Rattus norvegicus: one gene and its partners. The protein of the gene in region 3 interacts with the protein of the main gene of each other region in a pairwise test. Links are inferred from orthologs where the notes say so. Each region holds a gene or a part of one and is shown on either strand. Other genes may lie near its edges.

Region 1 (4,432 bases), on a different chromosome or scaffold from region 3:
GAAAACTTACTCAGTGAAAGTAGATCAGATACAGAGACCTGAGTCACAGTGGCAGGAAGATTCCTACAGGAAGTGATGTGCAGTGCAGTCTAGAGCACTGGCTTGTGGCAAACAACAAAAACATAAGCTAGACTTGCTATGTAAAGTGGAAGACTGAACAGACAAACCCCCAGAGTTGTGGACTGGGCTCCTACAAGTGAGAGCCATTGAAGATGGTGTTGGAAAGAGAAAAGTAAACTGTGGGTTGAGCAGCAGCCTTTTCTAGTCTACCAAGAACCTCAGAACAGAGACCCAGAATAAATCATAACCTTCACATTTAACACTACAGATAAACACAGAAAAGAGAACCAAGCACGAAATCTACACATACATAAAAAAGGAATTGATCCAGGTTGCTAAAGTTGACATTAGAAAATCTAAAAATACATATGCCTTTAATCCCAGCACTTGGGAGGCAGAGGCAGGAGGATCCCTGAGTTTAAGGGTAACCTGGTCTACAGGGGGAGTTCCAGAACAGCAAGGTTTACACAGAGAAACCCTGTCTCGAAAAACCAAAAGCAGAAATGTCTTCTAGATTTGGCAACCTTGGAAGCAGAGGAGAGGTTGAGAGCTTTTGCCAAGCACAAGCTATAGGTGGAGATAACACAGGAGCACACCAACATGTACAAAGTATTGTTTGTTTTCTGAAGAAAAGGACTCTGGACTATTTCCACCCAAGACAAAGAGCACTGGGAGAAGCAGTACAAAGGCCCCTCTACAAGCTCAGCGCACTTACCTGGATGGGGCATCCCACCTGGTGGGAATGGATGAGGATGTGAATGTCCATGACCAGGATGTCCAGCCCCTGGAGTTCCTGCTGCTGGGGGACCATGTCCTCCAGCCCCAGGTGGCATAGGTGGTGGGGGCATTGCTGGGGGTATCCCAGGAGGAAGGGCCCCAGGAGGTGGCACTGGAGGTGGGAACGAACCAGGAGGTGGCATTCCTGTTTAAGAAATGAAGGACAATTAGTGGTATCGGACAGAATGTCTTTCCCAGCATGCTACACTCCAGCTTCCTAAGGACATGCACCAACTTCTTCCCTCCCACCAGCATCCTCACTCCTCCCTCACTGCCCACTGACTTCACAGCTTACTCTTCCAGGGCTTCCTCTGCCCCCTGACCTCCCTCCCATGGGCCTCACTGGCATAGTCTGAACTACAAGCTGTACCTGGTGGAGGAAGCCCAGAACCCAGGGATGAAACCACAGGATTGGGGGCAGAGGGTGGAGGGGGTGCATCGGCAAACAGCTGATGAGGGCGGTCAGCCTGAGACAGCGGGTTCTGGGCTGCCAGAAGTCGTTCAGCTGCTGAGCCATGTCGTTCACCCTTAGAGTCCTTCTTGAAGGCATAAGACACAGTGATAGGGCGGTTACACAGGTACTGCCCATTCATGGCCTCAATTGCTGCATCTGAAGCATCAAATGAAGCAAAATTAATGAAGGCGTAACCCTTGGAGTTGCCTGTGTCAGGGTCCCGCATAATCTTGGGGGTCTGTAAGATGACTCCAAAGGCGCTAAAAGTATCGTAAAGCAACTTCTCATCAATTTCTGGGTCCAGATTTCCAATGAAAATGTTGGCTCCTACATCCAGGTTTTTGTTGTGAGCCGAGGCTTTGTTCACCCGTATTGGCTTCCCATAGAGTTTGATCATGTTCATAATCTTAATGGCATAGTCAGCATCTTCCTCACTCAAGAATTCAACAAAGCCATAGCCTAGGAAACCAATGAAAAAAGACCACTCAGGTGAAGAGATTCAAAATCAAACATTAACTCACCAGTTTGCAAACACAAAGAACAAAGCAGGTAAGGGCTGGGTGGGGGCTCATGCTTCTAATGCCACCATGCTGGAGCAGAGGTGGAGCCCTGAGTTTGAGGCCAGCCTGGTCTACAGAGCATGTTCCAGGACAGCCAAGGACTACACAGAGAACCACTGTCTTGAAAATAAAACAATAAAAAGAACATGACAGAAGAATAATCTTACTTCACTTGAGAATGGTTCCAGTAACTAGTGCTAAGAGAAACTATTCCAAAAACTGAACTGAAGCTTAAGGGGGAAAAGAACCTTTAGGTTGCTCATTCCAAAGTAGTTGTGACTGGAGTTGTGACTCTTCAGGGGCCGTTAACGCTATACAGGGTTAATTCTCGACATGTACTCACCTTGGTGCTGGCCAGTGACTCTATCCTTTGGCATGTGGGTGTTGACCACTGGCCCTGCCTGGAGAAAGAGCTCCCATAGCAGTGGCTCGCTCACTTTCTCGTCTAGACCTCCCACGTACACCGTGGCATCTAAAGGGAAGAAGCAGGAGGTAAGGAGAGGGTCAAGAGTGAAAAGTAAAATAAAAACCAAAAACGTTAACTAAAGACCCGAAATTCCCTCAGCTTCCACAGTCTAGAAAAATCCGCTACGTCTAATTTGGCATTCTTGCTGATCCTGTATTTCCGGAGAATTTTGTCTTCTTGGTAGAGGAGTATTTAAAGAGAATGGATCTAGAAGCATCACTCTTCATAGGCCTGGGCCTCCACTTGGCCTCGAGGCGAGCCAGGCGCCCAGAGGTCGGTCTCACATCAGAGGGATCTCGTCTCCCACCCAAGCAGAAATGCTTCTGGCATTAATCAGCTCTTCACTTCCCTGCCCCTATCTTGGTCTCTTTTCTCCCAATTACCCTGATTCCGTTCGGAGATCGGTCCGGCAGCCATGGCGAAAGGGCTCCCGCCGTCTCTAAGCAGCAGCACCGCCCCCCTGACCTCAGTTTCTACTTCCACTTCCGGGCCAAGGCTCACATTGGGCGGGGCCGGCGACAAGGGAGGAGCCGGAAGCGATCGCGGCCATCTTAGGAGTCAGATTCGTGTCGGACAGAAGGGAAAGGTGCTCTGGAGCTGCCGCAGCAATCGGGGTGGAACAGAAGTGAATCAGCCGGTCTTGATACAGTTAACTAAAGCCCTGAATGCTTCCAGACTGTTAGGGCATCACACTGCACCCCAAGCGCAAATTGAAATGCTAAACCAAGCTTTGTATGTTCTGTGACGCAGAGACGTGTGCTAGGCAAAGTCCCGCCATATCCAGGGCCAGGACTGCCTTTGAAAACAGCCTATTTTTAATTCGGTCCACAACGCTCGTGCAGATTCGCCCTCGGCCTAGGCTTGAGCTCGAGGTATTTTGGTTTCCCGTAAGTGTCAGAGCTCCTCCAATCTTGGGAAATTTGAGACCGAGGGTGCTCACAGGCAGGTATTGAAGCTTTAAGAGGCAGGTGTGGATCTCTGAGCTAAAGGCTAGCCAGGTCTACAGAACGAGATCCAGGACAGCCATGGCCTCACAGAAAAATCTGTCTCGGAAAAAAAAAAAAAAAAATTCCAGGCTAGCCTGATATACAGAGAGACCTTGTCTCAAAAAAGGTGTGTGTGCGTATGTGTGTGTGGGGCGGGGGGGCTTTCCCAATATTTCATGTGCATTCTGCCCAGCCCTGCCAATCCTTTATTTCCTTACAATAATAAGTGTCCTTTTCTCAGTTCACACTACCCCACAACCACCACCGCTTTGCTGAGATCTTCATTCAATACAAGAAAATACCAGCAATGTGTAGAAATACTGTGCTTTAATGAACTCCTTAAATAGAAATGCTGCTACAAAAATATACAGTGGGAGGAGGAGGTGTCTCCCTTATTCACCTCATTCCCACAGAAGACTAAGAAAAGATTTCAATGTAGTGTTGAGGGGTTGAGAATGAGGTCTCTAGGACACCTTGCTGGGGCTGATGAAAAGGGTCTCTGATATCATACTTTTGACAACCATCCAAATGGCACAGAATTGCCTCGAAAAAAGGCAATCATTCTGAATTGGTTTTGTTTCTTATTTTTCAAATCACAAGAAACAAAAATAGCTCCAGGAACCAAACGAGACAGGAGAGCTGGAGGTTGGTAGCACCATCTACAGAAACTGGCCTACTAAGTGAGCTTTACAGACTGGAATACCAAACCCGAAGCACCAAGGTCAGACATAAACATCAGCAGAAACAAACCCCCGCCCTCTGCCCTGCCTTTGAGATGGCTAGCAGTTTCAGCAGATCTGAGAAAGGATAGTATTTGGATCTCTTTTCTTGCTGTGGTCCTCCGGAGATATTCTTGGTGTCCATTTTCTTAATAGTTCCTGAAGATGAGACAGCTCATCTTGAAGGCCAGAGATTGTGAGAGCTGAAGAGCCTATCTGGGGAGAGGCAAAGGAAGGTGCAAAGAGAGATTGTCACAGGTCTAGTTCCTTTTTCTTTTTTCTTTTTCTTTTTTTCTCAGGTTTGTCTGTTTTTATTTTCAAGACTGGGGTTTCTCTGTGTAGCCCTGGCTATCCTAGAACTAACTCTGTAGACCAGGCTGGTCTCAAACTCAGAGACCCAGTTGCTCCTG
Region 2 (3,746 bases), on a different chromosome or scaffold from region 3:
CAGGGTAACACACTGAGCAATTTGCTGTTGGACAGTTTCATCATTGTTGAAATACCACAAAGTGTACTTACATAAAATCAGGTTTCACCAGATGATATACGCAACACACACAAACACACCATATATATGAGACCATTGTGGTGCACAAACTATCCTCTCTCTCTCTCTCTCTCTCTCTCTCTCTCTCTCTCTCTCTCTCTCTCACACACACACACACACACACACACACACACACACACACACACACACACGTACATTTAAATGTGCACTTGACTCAACAAATCCACACAGAGGTCCGCTGAAAATGATAACTGGGTGGCTTTGTTTATGCAAAGTAGCAAGAATAGAATGGATAGAAAGTATGCAGGAATTGCGGCACTGTGAAGGACCAGGAACAACAACTCTATACTGGCAAGGAAGTTCTGTTTTAGAGGCACAGAGAATAAGTATTATAGTTTCTATGCCTGGAATAAGAAAAAGAGGGGGAGATAAAAGATTTACTTATCTGCCATTCAGGGTGATGAGACTGACATTGAAAAAGGAAAAAAGATGATTTTCTCTAAACTCCTCTGTATATTGTATAACAATGATCATGCACTATTTTTTAATTTAAGAGGTAAAGTTATGTTTTTCTGGTGAGGGAAGAACTGACAAGAACACATCATTTTTTTTTAAACTACTCTGCAGAATCAAATTGAAACCAAAGTTCAGAAATTATGAAAAACAGGTTAACAGTCAATTTGAACTTCCTTCTTTGAGTATTAACAGTCTATATTACATTTAGATCCATATGGTAAACCCCCAGGAAAAAGTGAGAATGACCTGAACTCCAAACCTTTCTATTCTAGTATGCCAAGCCATTGCTCTACCTACTGAGTTACAACCATAAACTTTGCACTCTTCATCCTCTTCTTTTATGTCCAGGGCTTTCAGAATCCTAGGGGCTGACTCTGCATGCACTGCTGAGGGGAGGGCATGTTAGCTGAAAGGGTAATATGCCTTAGGATGACAACAGACTTTCCTTTAGAGGACAGCCTATCCACAGGTCACCAGCTCTGCTCAGACTTCTTTAGTTGAGGTACCACTTCTAAAACCCCAGTGCTTGCCGCACATCTTCTGACCTCTAACAGTGCTCCAACTTAACTTCTAAAGTTTTCCAGATGGAAATGACAAAGGGGAAAAATTTAAGGCAAAAGCAGTAAAGTAAGAGTTAATCACCTGCACTAGCTCCAGACACTGCTTTGGAAATGGCACTGCTGGAAATTGCTCTGTTTCGCTTCATTATCTCTTCAAATTCAGCTTCACTCACTGTAGACGGTAGAGGGCCTGAATCTCGGCTGCAGAGAGACAATTACACAGTTGACTGCCCACAACCTTTCTTATTTTCATCACATTCTACAGTACTATTACTCAATTCTTCTCTAGGTATGTCTTAAATGTTCATTCTCTACTTTAAGGACAGGATTTATAGCATGTGTTCCTAATTTTGGTTTAACTCAACAGTAGTAATCATTGCAGCATTTGCAGCAGCCATTTATGGCACAGAGTTTAAACAAGCTGCTTAAAGGGAGCTAAGAAAGAGATGTTTTGGGTCAAGTAGATAAGCTGAAAACAGAAAACACTCAATTAAAAAAAAAAAAAAAAGAGAGCTGTGGGAAGTAACTTGGCTCATAAAGTGCTTGCCATGTAAGCATGAGGTCCTGAGTTCAATGTCCAGAATCTACATAAAAATATCACACATGGTGGAGCGTGCTTATAACCCAGTGTTGGGAAAGTGGAAGACAAGTGGATCCCTGGGGCCCACTGGCTAGCCAGTTTAATCTACTTGGGTCTGCTCCAGGCCAATGAAAGACTGTCTCAAGCAAGGTGGACAGCATGTTTTTTTTTTTTTTTTTCTTTTTTTTCGGAGCTGGGGACCGAACCCAGGGCCTTGCGGTTGCTAGGCAAGAGCTCTACCACTGAGCCAAATCCCCAACCGACAGCATGTTTGAGAATGACACTAAAAGTCCTTTGGCTACCATATGCAAGTGCACACAAGCACACATGTAGCTGTATACACATGTGTACTTGCACATACAGGCATGTAAAACAAACCTCTGGTAGATACTAATCTATACCCCAGGACTCGACATCACAGTGAGAATACAGAGGAAAACCACCAGCATTCAGTGCTCATTCATGGAAAACAAATGTCTAAAACACTGTTTTTTTTGTTTGTTTCTTTAAAAAAAAAAAAAAGTTACTATTCTGCCGTGTATATATGTCTATGTGAGGGTGCCAAGTCCCCTGAAAATAGGAGTTAAAAGACAGTTGCGAGTTAACTGAGTGCTGGAAACTGAACCCCTGTCCTCTGGAAGAACAGTCAGTGCTCTTAACCACTGAGCCACCTCTCTAGCCCCTTTGTTTTGTTTGAGACAGGGTTTCTCTGTAGCTCTGGCTGTCCTGGAACTCACTCTGTAGACCAAGCTATCCTCAAACTCAAGAGATTCACCCACTCTGCCTCTTGAGTACTGGAACTAAAAACACAAACCATCATCACTGTCTGACAAAACACTGTCTACTATTGCTTGGTGTAATAGTATATGACAGAAATTTAATACCAACATTCAGGAAGCAGAGGCAGGTGAACTGCTGAGTTTGAGGGCGGCAGTCTATATAAGTGAGGCCTTGTCTCAAAAACAAACAAACAAACAAACAAACAAACAAACAAACAACACTATATACTCTACTATCCTGGCTCAAAGCTGCAGGGAAATATAGTTTTTACCTGCCATGGTGGTTATAGGGTGTAGAGGCCTTCATGTAAGTATCTGGTGGAGGCCCCACTGTAGCATTTGGTGGGGGGAAGAAGGCTGGATTGAGGTGAAGGGCTGGTGGGATGGCCCCAGGGGGAGGTACAGCCAGATGAGGAGGTAATCGAGGAGGGGGGGGCATGAGATGCTGGTAGTGGATACCAGGAGGAGGAGGAGGGACACCAAAGCTTGAGGAGAGAGGTGGTGGGGGTGGAATTGGGGGTGGGGGCAGACCCATTAGGGGAAGGGCTGAAGGAGGACGGTTAAAGTAGGGCAACACGCTGGGGGGCTTATCCACACGAGCAGATGAGGGTACAAGATTCTCAGAGGGGGTTGCCCGTCCATCAGCAGAATCACTAGAATCTCGGGAGTGGGCCCGTGGAGGTATTCCTGCAAAGCAAAACAGAGCTTATATTACTGCCCAGGCAGGCTTTGGCTATAGCGATAGGACCAGCTCATCTCTCAGCAAGTCTGGTACCACATAAAAGAATACAAGTAAAGCAGGTAAGAGAAAAGAAACAAATCATTTGGTGCCTTTCCATTGGCCTCAGCAGAAAGATCAGAAGTATTCTGGTTAGGACAACTTCAAAAAGCAACAGAACTCTTAATTTAAGAGAAACCTTGTTTCCTATTTTCAAATAAATACACATGCTCCAACAACCCTTAAGGAAAGGATGTTTAAGCATGCTCAGTGATGTTCTGCTGGATTTTACATGCCTTGAATCCTGTGTTCCCAAGAGTTCAGAGACCCAAGACCACTACAAGTTATATTTTATTGTGCTGAACTCTAGAAACATTCTCTTTGTCATGGAGCTCTAGTCAGGGAACTAAAGAAAGAACAGGAAGAGCAGGAGACAGAGCCATCCTCTACCTACATTTTATTCAAAGAGTTAACTCAGCCTAGTTAAAGTAGACCCCAAGAGAACATGACATGGCCTTGGGAGAGATTTGCAG
Region 3 (3,746 bases):
TTCTAGTGCTTCCAATTCATTTTCTGACAAGTGGGCCCGTCGATGAATCTCAAGGTTTTGCTGTAAAGGGGGACAGGATAGAGTAAAGCAACTAGGCTCGGCTGGGCTAGACACGGGCTATCCTACCAACTCTCTCCTCAATCACCTTGTGGAGTCCAGAGAGCTGCTGGTGCCGGATGAGCGCCTCCTTGCTGGGAAACTGGCGGCGGCAGAGCAGACAGGCTAGCTTCTGCCAGTCTGTGAGCTTTTCTTCCCGCTCAGGACCCCCTCGCTCCTGCTCCTCCTCACTGTCACTCTCTCCACTATAGGCTGCCACCAGCCCTCGAGGTGGGCTCTGTAGAGGGTAAGGGTGGGCAGTCAGTCACACCTGCTAAGATCAGGGACCCCTACCCCTTTTGTCCTGAAACTTACAGGGCGGTCATCACTGGCCAACTTTGGGAGATCCATGCTGGTGTGCTGTCTTTCAGCTAGTGCTCCCTGAGGCAGAAGAAACAGAAATTCAAAGCTCCACAGAGAACCCTAAAGAATGGTAAGAGAACCTAAAGAATGGTGGGGTACAGATGGATAGTTACAATATACCTTCTTCTCAAGGATGGCATAGCCTGCATCTGCAGTGGCTGATTCCCGCCTTTCATCATCTCGTAGAGCACTAATAGGCTGGAAGCTGTTTTTGAAGTTTTCTTTTTGCTTGTTGAGACTGCGGGCCCACCGCTCCATGTCCTTGGCAATCTAGGGGTTAAGGGTTGAGGTTACAGTTTCCAGAATTCCTCAAGCTTGGCTCTCTACTTTCTCACCCATGGCCCCTGCAGCAAGAACCCTTCCTGCTCTGTAGCTTCAAATCTGTACCTCCTTTGACTTTCCTTTATGATGGAATCAACACTTTCATACCCATACTGCTTTTTTTGGTCAGTGATTGTCACAGCAACAGAAACCTAACTAAGGCATGTGACATCATGTCACATTAATGTTTTGTGGTTTTCCTGGGGCATGAAACATTTTGAGAATCAGGTGGAGAGAATATTTATTGTTTGCTTCAATGCCATACCTTTTCTCCACAGAGACTGAGGTTCCTTCTAATTTTTCTCTACTAGAAAACCCTGCAGTGTTTCTTCTCCTACTCAACTCCTTATAGGGTATGAGAATTTCTCTGGGATCAATACACATCTACCACCAGCATGAAGGTTCCTTTGTAGGATAGAGAAACGCTGTCAGAGTTCACTCAGATGGTCCTGCTATAGTACCCTCAAAAGAGATCTAGCTCAGGAGTACTGTCTATCTGAAACAGTTACTATCCCTGTCCATACCTACCCACCACCCTTCTTTCTAAAGCAGGTGAGAGCAAAAAGTGACAGAACATAGACTCCAAACAACCAGATGATGGCTGGAAGGTCACCTGTTGGGCCGTCTTCGTCTTATGCTTCTCTTTTTTCTCTTTTCCCTCCTTTGATGATGCCCCTGTGTCCTTATGTCCATCAGCAGACTGCTCCAAGGCAGGTATGTAGGTCCGCCGCTCCCCATCCCAGTATAGGTACTGCTGACTCTGAGCATTGTAGTAATACTGAAGGAGAGAATGGGAAGAGGGGATGTGAGGAAGTATGTGTAGAGGTAGCTACCACAAAGCCACACTCCAGTTTTCCCTAAGCTACCCTATCACTTACCTGGGAGTTGGGATCATAGTATAGACCAGTCTGGGGGTCATAGTAGTAGCCAGATGTCTCATCATATTGGTAAGTAGAGACATCAGGAACAGCTGTGGGGAGCAAAGGCAAGGTTGTGGAATTCCTCTCTGTTTAGAGAAGTCCATACCCTTACCCACAGGCTATGGATACTCACGGTACTGGCTGTAGGACTCTGGGGCAGTGGGACTGGTGGCCGGTGGTAAGGCAGAGCTGGGATGAGTAGGGCTCTGGAGCTCAGACTTGAGCACAGCAGGTGACATGATGGTATATGACTACTCATGGGTCACATAAGGGAACAGGACTCAGTGTCTGTTAATACCACCCTGCCCACTCAGGATGCACCTTGCCAGCCTACCAGCCTCCCCAGAGTACCAATGCCATTCTCACCTGGCTGTTGGTAGCAGTGCCCTGGCCACTGCTCCCCTCAGCTGATTGCTGATAGAGTCCAGGGGCAGCACCAGGCTGGGCTCGAGAGAAAGCCTGCAGTGACACAGAGTCTGTCCCACCCTCAAGGGAGGTCTCAGGACCTGAAAAGAAAACCAAGGAGAATGAATGCCCATGAATGTCAGAGCATATGGCCTCTAGGCCCCACAATTAGGCTCAGCAAGAGAGGATGAGGCTCACCTGCTCCAGATGTGTCCCCTTTGGTCCCAGTCATGCCAGGGCCCTTGGTATTCTTAAGGTAGCCATGGGCATAGAGGGAATCTGTTCCCTGGCTGCTGCCATAGCCCTCATCCTGTTGGTAGTAGCTGTAGTCAACTGGTGGCTCCTCGGGGGCAGCCCAGGTACTCTCCCCACCCTGGGAGGCCTGAGGGGCAGAAGAGAGATCATTAGATCAGGAGGGAACATAAATAAAGAAATCTGCTAAAAGTACCCGTCCCTACATGTGGAGCTAGGATTTCTACCTGACAGAAAAGCATGTAGTCTTAAGTAAAAATCAAGGGGTCCTGGTCATAAGAGAACAGTCACAAGAAAAGAGACAGGAAAAGGCTACATGTCCAAATGTACACTAGACTGATACTGATAAGGTACATGTGTTATTTACTCCTCATACCAAGCAAGACACTCTTAATCTCTTCCCTTTTGTTTTCCTTTACCCCCCCCCCACCTACACCTATGTAGCCCATGCTGGCCTGGGACTTTGGCAATCCTCCTGCCTCTACCTCATAAGAACTGGGATTACAGGTGTTTATCACTCTATCTGGCTCCCAAAGTACTTTTTAGATACTTATAAATTCCTTTTTATTCATGGCACATATACTTAAACGATGAATCACACACACACACACTCAAAGAATATGCAACATATTAGACCAACTGAGAACAATTAAAAAAAAAGTACTCCCCAACAGCATAGACAACCAACCCAGGGAATGCTAGCAAGAAAAGTGCAGGAGACAGGGATGGAGAGAGGACTCAGAAGACAGGTTCAGTTCCCAGCACCTATATGGTTATTCCAAGCATTCAAAAATCTAGGTTGAAGGGATCAGACACCCTCTTTTGACTTCTGCAGGCACTGCACATACACATGGTGCACATGCATAGGTACAGGCAAAACACTCATACACATAAAAATAAAGTAAAAACAAATCTTAAAGAAGAAAAAAAGTCTAACAAGTGACTGGGAATGACAGAAGGGATGGAGTAGGGATGGATCTAGAAAGGCAGGAGTAACTGAGTAAAGGTAGGAAAGCCTACAACACTTGTAACAGGGCACAACAGTTTGTTAACAAGTCTACTTTGTTGTTTGCAGAAAGAATACAGAAGGGTTAAGAAAGTTAGATGCCAGGGTGATGGGGGCAGAGGCCAAGTACCTGTGAGATTGCCCACTGGGCAGCAGCAATGGCAGTGCTGGCCACAGAGGCAGCATTGATGCGACTGCCTTCATTGGAGGCCATATCCCTGGGGAGGACAGTAGAAACTGGAATTGAAACAGGGACCCCCAAGGTACACGGGGGTGGGGTGGGCTAGGGGGATACTGTGAAACAGGGACCCCCAAGGTATAAGAGGGGTGGGGGCAGGGAGATGGGGGGAGCTGTGAGGGAGCTTAGGTGGGGCTCTGACCTC
Region 4 (4,537 bases), on a different chromosome or scaffold from region 3:
ACAGTAGTTACTGCCAAATGATGGGTTTCAAACACACTGGTTTTAACCCTTCCCTGATTTTCCCATGAACACACTAGCTTCATAAATTAAAACAGCATTCACTCAAATCCAGTGCTTATGATAGAATTTGGAAGGTAGAGGCAGGAGGATCAGGAGTTCCAATTCAGCCTTAGCTATACGCAAGCTCAAAGCCAGCCTGGACTACTTAAGACTTTGTCTCACACAAGGAATGGGAGGGGAAGAGAATGCAGAGGAGGAAAGAAAACAAAGAAAAGACCGGGAAAGGAAAAAAACAAATCCAGCATTTAAGAACCCAAATTACCTTCTCATGTGGCTCTATATAGAGAAAAATAGTGGGCACAGCGTTCTCCTTCAGTAGCTTGTTGTTGCACTCTCTCTTAAAGCAGTCTGGAGTAAAGTGCTCCGAACAGATACTGCTGTACTTAGTGGGCTTGAAGTTTTTCCTTCTAACAGCTGCCTCCCACTGTTTACAAAGACTGGGACGAGTAAGAGGAAACCTAAGAAGATACAATTCAGTTCTCTGACTTTACTTTAAAAAATAAATAATACCCTTCCCCCATTCTCATACTAAGGAAAATCTTAACATACTAAGGAGAATCTGATTGGAGATCAGTTCCGGTTACTATTCTCACTCAGTGAGCTTCACCTTTTTATACTGAAGACACTTAACAGTTCAGTTAAAATAGATCGTATGTGGGGTTGGGGATTTAGCTCAGTGGTAGAGTACTTGCCTAGCAAGCGCAAGGCCCTGGGTTCGGTCCCCAGCTCCAAAAAAAAAAAAAAAAAAAAAAAGAAAAGAAAAGAAAAAAAATTGATCATATGTGCAAATTCTACGCATATTTTTACTAAAAATTTTGTGTCTTATAGAACAAAACTTGGACATATGTCTACATCCTGAAATAGACGTCTAGCTCTTTTTAATCACTCCAACAAAGAGACTACATCCTGAATTGGGCAAGTGACAAAGATGGTAAGGACGTTATTTTATGGCTTAATTCAGTGTATGGAATGGGGAATCCTTGTATCTATTGCCACTATGCTTTTCTATAACAAAAACTTGGTGGGAGATGCTAGAGGAATCAGAAATGGCTGAAAAGGAATGTTTCCACTTATTTTTACTATTCCACTACATAAGGTATGTGGGACCCTGATCATCATTTTCTTTATGAAGACCTAACCAATCTTCCTGCTAGTGTTTATTCTTTACACAGCCAGCTTTCTCCACTGCTACTGCACACAGGCTGGAAAAAAGATATTCCTGAAAAGAAGTACAACCACTGTGGTAGCTTCTTATAAATCTTAGTATCTCATCTCCTGGCATAGAGCACAAACTCTGAACTGTCAAGATCTTTGCCATTTACTGTTCTTACATAAGGAATAAGACTCATTCTTGTTTTTATGTTTCAACATCCAGCAGTTGAAACAGTAGTTTGATGTGTGCCATTTTTTTTTTCTTTTTTCTTTTTTTCAGAGCTGGGGACCGAACCCAGGGCCTTGCGCTTGCTAGGCAAGCGCTCTACCACTGAGTTAAATCCCCAACCCCGATGTGTGCCATTTTTAACTAGTCTGCATATTTGAAGACTCCTGGGCCATCTTAATAAAGCATAGGAAAGGGAAGTGGCAAGTCGGATGCATATCCCTGTCACCATTTCCTGATCTGTTCTGACATTCTGAAGGCGTATGAAATTTCAATCAATCAAGTCGTAGTAATTGGACATATTCTATCCTCTTCCCACAGAGAAAACACCAGCATACAACTCTTACTTTCTAACAAACACTTTTAAACAAAAACACTAGCTCCCCAAATCCCTGAGGGAACATTTTGAAATTTGTTTCTGTAATTGTTTTCCCTATAGACAGTTTGGATAATTTTCCAGTGGGTCTGATTTCTTAGCTATTCTCTGCATACAGTCAGGAATTCTTCCAAAACCTAACATAAAACTTGTAATAACGAATTTAGCTGCCTAAAAGTATGTCACATTTTGTGGACCGTTAGCATTGCTAATAATCACCATCAGTAACGTTAATTCTATTGCCTTCTTCTTTCAAGAGAGTATTTTTCATCCTGGATTCTTGCTTGCTGCACACACAAGAACAAGGCCTGACAGCTGTGGGGGAAAGCTAACATTAGTTCCATCAACCTTTCCCAGGGCATCTGAGTAAAGTGAATGCTATCGTTTCATTACTACCGTGTGTTGAAAGACTGGGGCTCATCTTGGCAATACCAAGAGTCACCTCTAAAACCCACAGATCCTTAAAGCTTGGTTCTTTGAAACCAGGTCTAAAAGTCCTGGTCAGATGTCAACACTCAGCTATCCTGCTTCCCTCCTAACAGCAGCAGCGAGGTCAGAAGCCAGGTCTCCCTCCCATGCTTTTCTAGTTCCAGTTTATCCCTATGGGACATTTCCACGGCTTGGCTTGGGACGAAATCCGGAGGGCAGCGAGAGGCTTCCAGGCGTCCATCGCTTGCTCGCCAGAAACCCTCCACGAGCGCAAAGGCGCGGCCGCAGCCTCAGCAGAGCCCAGCCAACGGAGGCGGCGCGCGCCGGGAACGCGCAGCCATGGGTCCCCGCCCCCGCCGGCCAGCCCCGTCTGCCGCCCGAGCCCGCCGGCCGCCCCGCCTCCTCCAGGTCTCGCGCGGCCACGCGCCGGGCTCCGCCTCCACCCGCCCGCGCGCCCCTGCCGCGGCCGCGGAGCACGCCAGTTACCTACTTGTGGAAGGAGACGGGCTTGTCCTTATCGTACCGGTTCTTGCAGCCGTAGGCGGAACAGGACTGCACCATCCTTCTGGCCCTCCACACTTCCCCTCTGCCCGGGAGGCAGGTGAAGGGGCCGTCGGTGCCGCCGCGCTCGGCTTTGATACGGTCGCCGCTTTCGGTGGCTTTGGTTAGCAGTTATGGGGACGATTACCTCACCGTGGGGGGTGACCACCCGGTCCGTTGTGGTGTTTGCTTTAGCAGAAAGACAACAGCTGTCGCTCGTCTCCCATCTTCAAGATGGCGGAGGCAGCTTCAACCTCACCTCTCGCGAGGAGTTCGCTCGCAGGCTCTGATTAGCCGAAGGTAACGTTCCCAGGGAAGCTGACCATTGGTTAGGGCGAGGCGTGCCTGGGGGGCGTGGTCAGCAGTGCGGAAGTGGGTGGGTCCTCTGCGCCTTGGCCGGAAGAAAGCGCGTTTGTTTGGGAGCCTTGCTTTAGTCTCTTGTAGGGTCTTGTATTGGTGAGTGTGGTAAACTTAATTCAATTTAAACCGCCTGTTGGACCCAGAAGCGTAAAGGGAAGGTGGGAAAGCTCGTCCCTGGTCACATGTAATTTTTAAAAAGGGCGGCTGCGGAGGTGTGATTTATACAAATCTGTGTTCCACGTTCAGAATCCAGATGGCCGTCTACTTAAAGAGCGAGTACAGACGTGCATTTCATTTCTTCTAAGCTGAGAATCAAAAGCACTTATTTTTTAAAATTTATTTTATATTTGTGAGTACACTGTCGCTGTCTTCCGACTCACCAGAAGAGGGCAGCGGATCCCACTGCAGATGGCTGTGAGCCACATGCGGTTGCTAGGAATTGAACTCAGGACCTCTGGAAGAGCAGTCAGTGCTCTTAACCGCTGAGCCGTTTCTCCAGCTTGGAACGTTGTTACCTTTGCGTTCTGTCTGTGCTGGAAATTGCGAGCTGTTGCAGCTATTTTTCATGCTAGAGAGAAGTGTTACATGCTTGACCTTCTGTAGTTTTGAGTCTGGGGCGCGTGTGCCCGACATCATTGTAGACCTTTGACTCTTGAGCCCGCATACCATCCTTTACTAGCCCCTCTAACTTCAGCACACATGGACTTGCCTTCTGAGTCACCATGTATGTGGTTTAATGCATTTGCCGGCTACTTAAATCTGGAACCCTGGTATCAATGAGATCAATCAAACAAACAAAACCAGGACTTAACTCAGTGGTAAAGAGCATTTGTTGCTCTTGCAGAGGACCCAGATTCGGTTCCCAGCACCCACAAGGCAGTTCACACCATCTATAACTTTAGGCAAATGGGCACCAAGCACACATGTAGGTCAGAGGACGGCCTGTGGGAGTGGATTCTCTTCCTTCCACCCTGTGGGCTTCCAGGGACCCAACTCCCATTAGTCTTGGTTCCCAGTGTTTTTATCAGCTGCTCCTAGGATTTCTCCCCCTTCCTCAAGACTTAGGTTAATCTCATAGAGTAAAACTAGTACCTCTTGGTTATTCTCTCACCAGCAATCTTGAATTCAAGTACTCAGTCTCCTACTCAACTTTTTGTCAGTCCTAGTCTCCAGCCTTCTCTCTGTCCCTCGTAAAAACACTGCCAGTTCCTTGCTTATAAAACTTAGACTTCAGAGTCTACCTCTGGAGTGAGTAAAATCCAAATTGCTTATGGTGGCTGCATAGGCAGCAGGTACTCTGTGTTTTTACCATCCTGCCCTGCTTGTCCTTCAACTCCTTTAACTGCTCAAATACAGAGTTTTGCTTGGCCTGGGATGCCCATCCCCTGACCTCC

The links.
Region 1: the proteins of Rbm10 (region 3) and Sf3b4 interact in binary tests that used the Homo sapiens proteins (3 or more experiments, as listed by UniProt). The link is inferred for Rattus norvegicus from reciprocal best matches to the Homo sapiens genes RBM10 and SF3B4.
Region 2: the proteins of Rbm10 (region 3) and Cpsf7 interact in binary tests that used the Homo sapiens proteins (3 or more experiments, as listed by UniProt). The two-hybrid records come from large-scale screens. The link is inferred for Rattus norvegicus from reciprocal best matches to the Homo sapiens genes RBM10 and CPSF7.
Region 4: the proteins of Rbm10 (region 3) and Thap1 interact in binary tests that used the Homo sapiens proteins (3 or more experiments, as listed by UniProt). The two-hybrid records come from large-scale screens. The link is inferred for Rattus norvegicus from reciprocal best matches to the Homo sapiens genes RBM10 and THAP1.

Annotation. Positions count from the first base shown.
Region 1 is NC_086020.1:186,420,206-186,424,637, reverse strand, and holds the start of Sf3b4 (splicing factor 3B subunit 4), read right to left. Parts: upstream 2,972-4,432; 5' UTR 2,735-2,971; coding exon 2,701-2,734; intron 2,324-2,700; coding exon 2,195-2,323; intron 1,751-2,194; coding exon 1,208-1,750; intron 983-1,207; coding exon 776-982; intron 1-775. Other genes in the region: Mtmr11 (myotubularin-related protein 11), read right to left, coding at 4,092-4,238. UniProt on the Homo sapiens protein: Component of the 17S U2 SnRNP complex of the spliceosome, a large ribonucleoprotein complex that removes introns from transcribed pre-mRNAs.
Region 2 is NC_086019.1:216,602,768-216,606,513, reverse strand, and holds part of Cpsf7 (cleavage and polyadenylation specificity factor subunit 7), read right to left. Parts: intron 3,183-3,746; coding exon 2,768-3,182; intron 1,338-2,767; coding exon 1,219-1,337; intron 1-1,218.
Region 3 is NC_086039.1:4,094,930-4,098,675, forward strand, and holds part of Rbm10 (RNA-binding protein 10), read right to left. Parts: coding exon 3,744-3,746; intron 3,582-3,743; coding exon 3,494-3,581; intron 2,488-3,493; coding exon 2,304-2,487; intron 2,207-2,303; coding exon 2,067-2,206; intron 1,952-2,066; coding exon 1,834-1,951; intron 1,751-1,833; coding exon 1,659-1,750; intron 1,559-1,658; coding exon 1,394-1,558; intron 730-1,393; coding exon 580-729; intron 478-579; coding exon 412-477; intron 335-411; coding exon 146-334; intron 61-145; coding exon 1-60. UniProt on the Homo sapiens protein: Binds to ssRNA containing the consensus sequence 5'-AGGUAA-3'. May be involved in post-transcriptional processing, most probably in mRNA splicing. Binds to RNA homopolymers, with a preference for poly(G) and poly(U) and little for poly(A).
Region 4 is NC_086034.1:72,609,654-72,614,190, forward strand, and holds the start of Thap1 (THAP domain-containing protein 1), read right to left. Parts: upstream 3,038-4,537; 5' UTR 2,805-3,037; coding exon 2,734-2,804; exon of another isoform or gene 2,681-2,733; intron 519-2,680; coding exon 323-518; intron 1-322. UniProt on the Homo sapiens protein: DNA-binding transcription regulator that regulates endothelial cell proliferation and G1/S cell-cycle progression.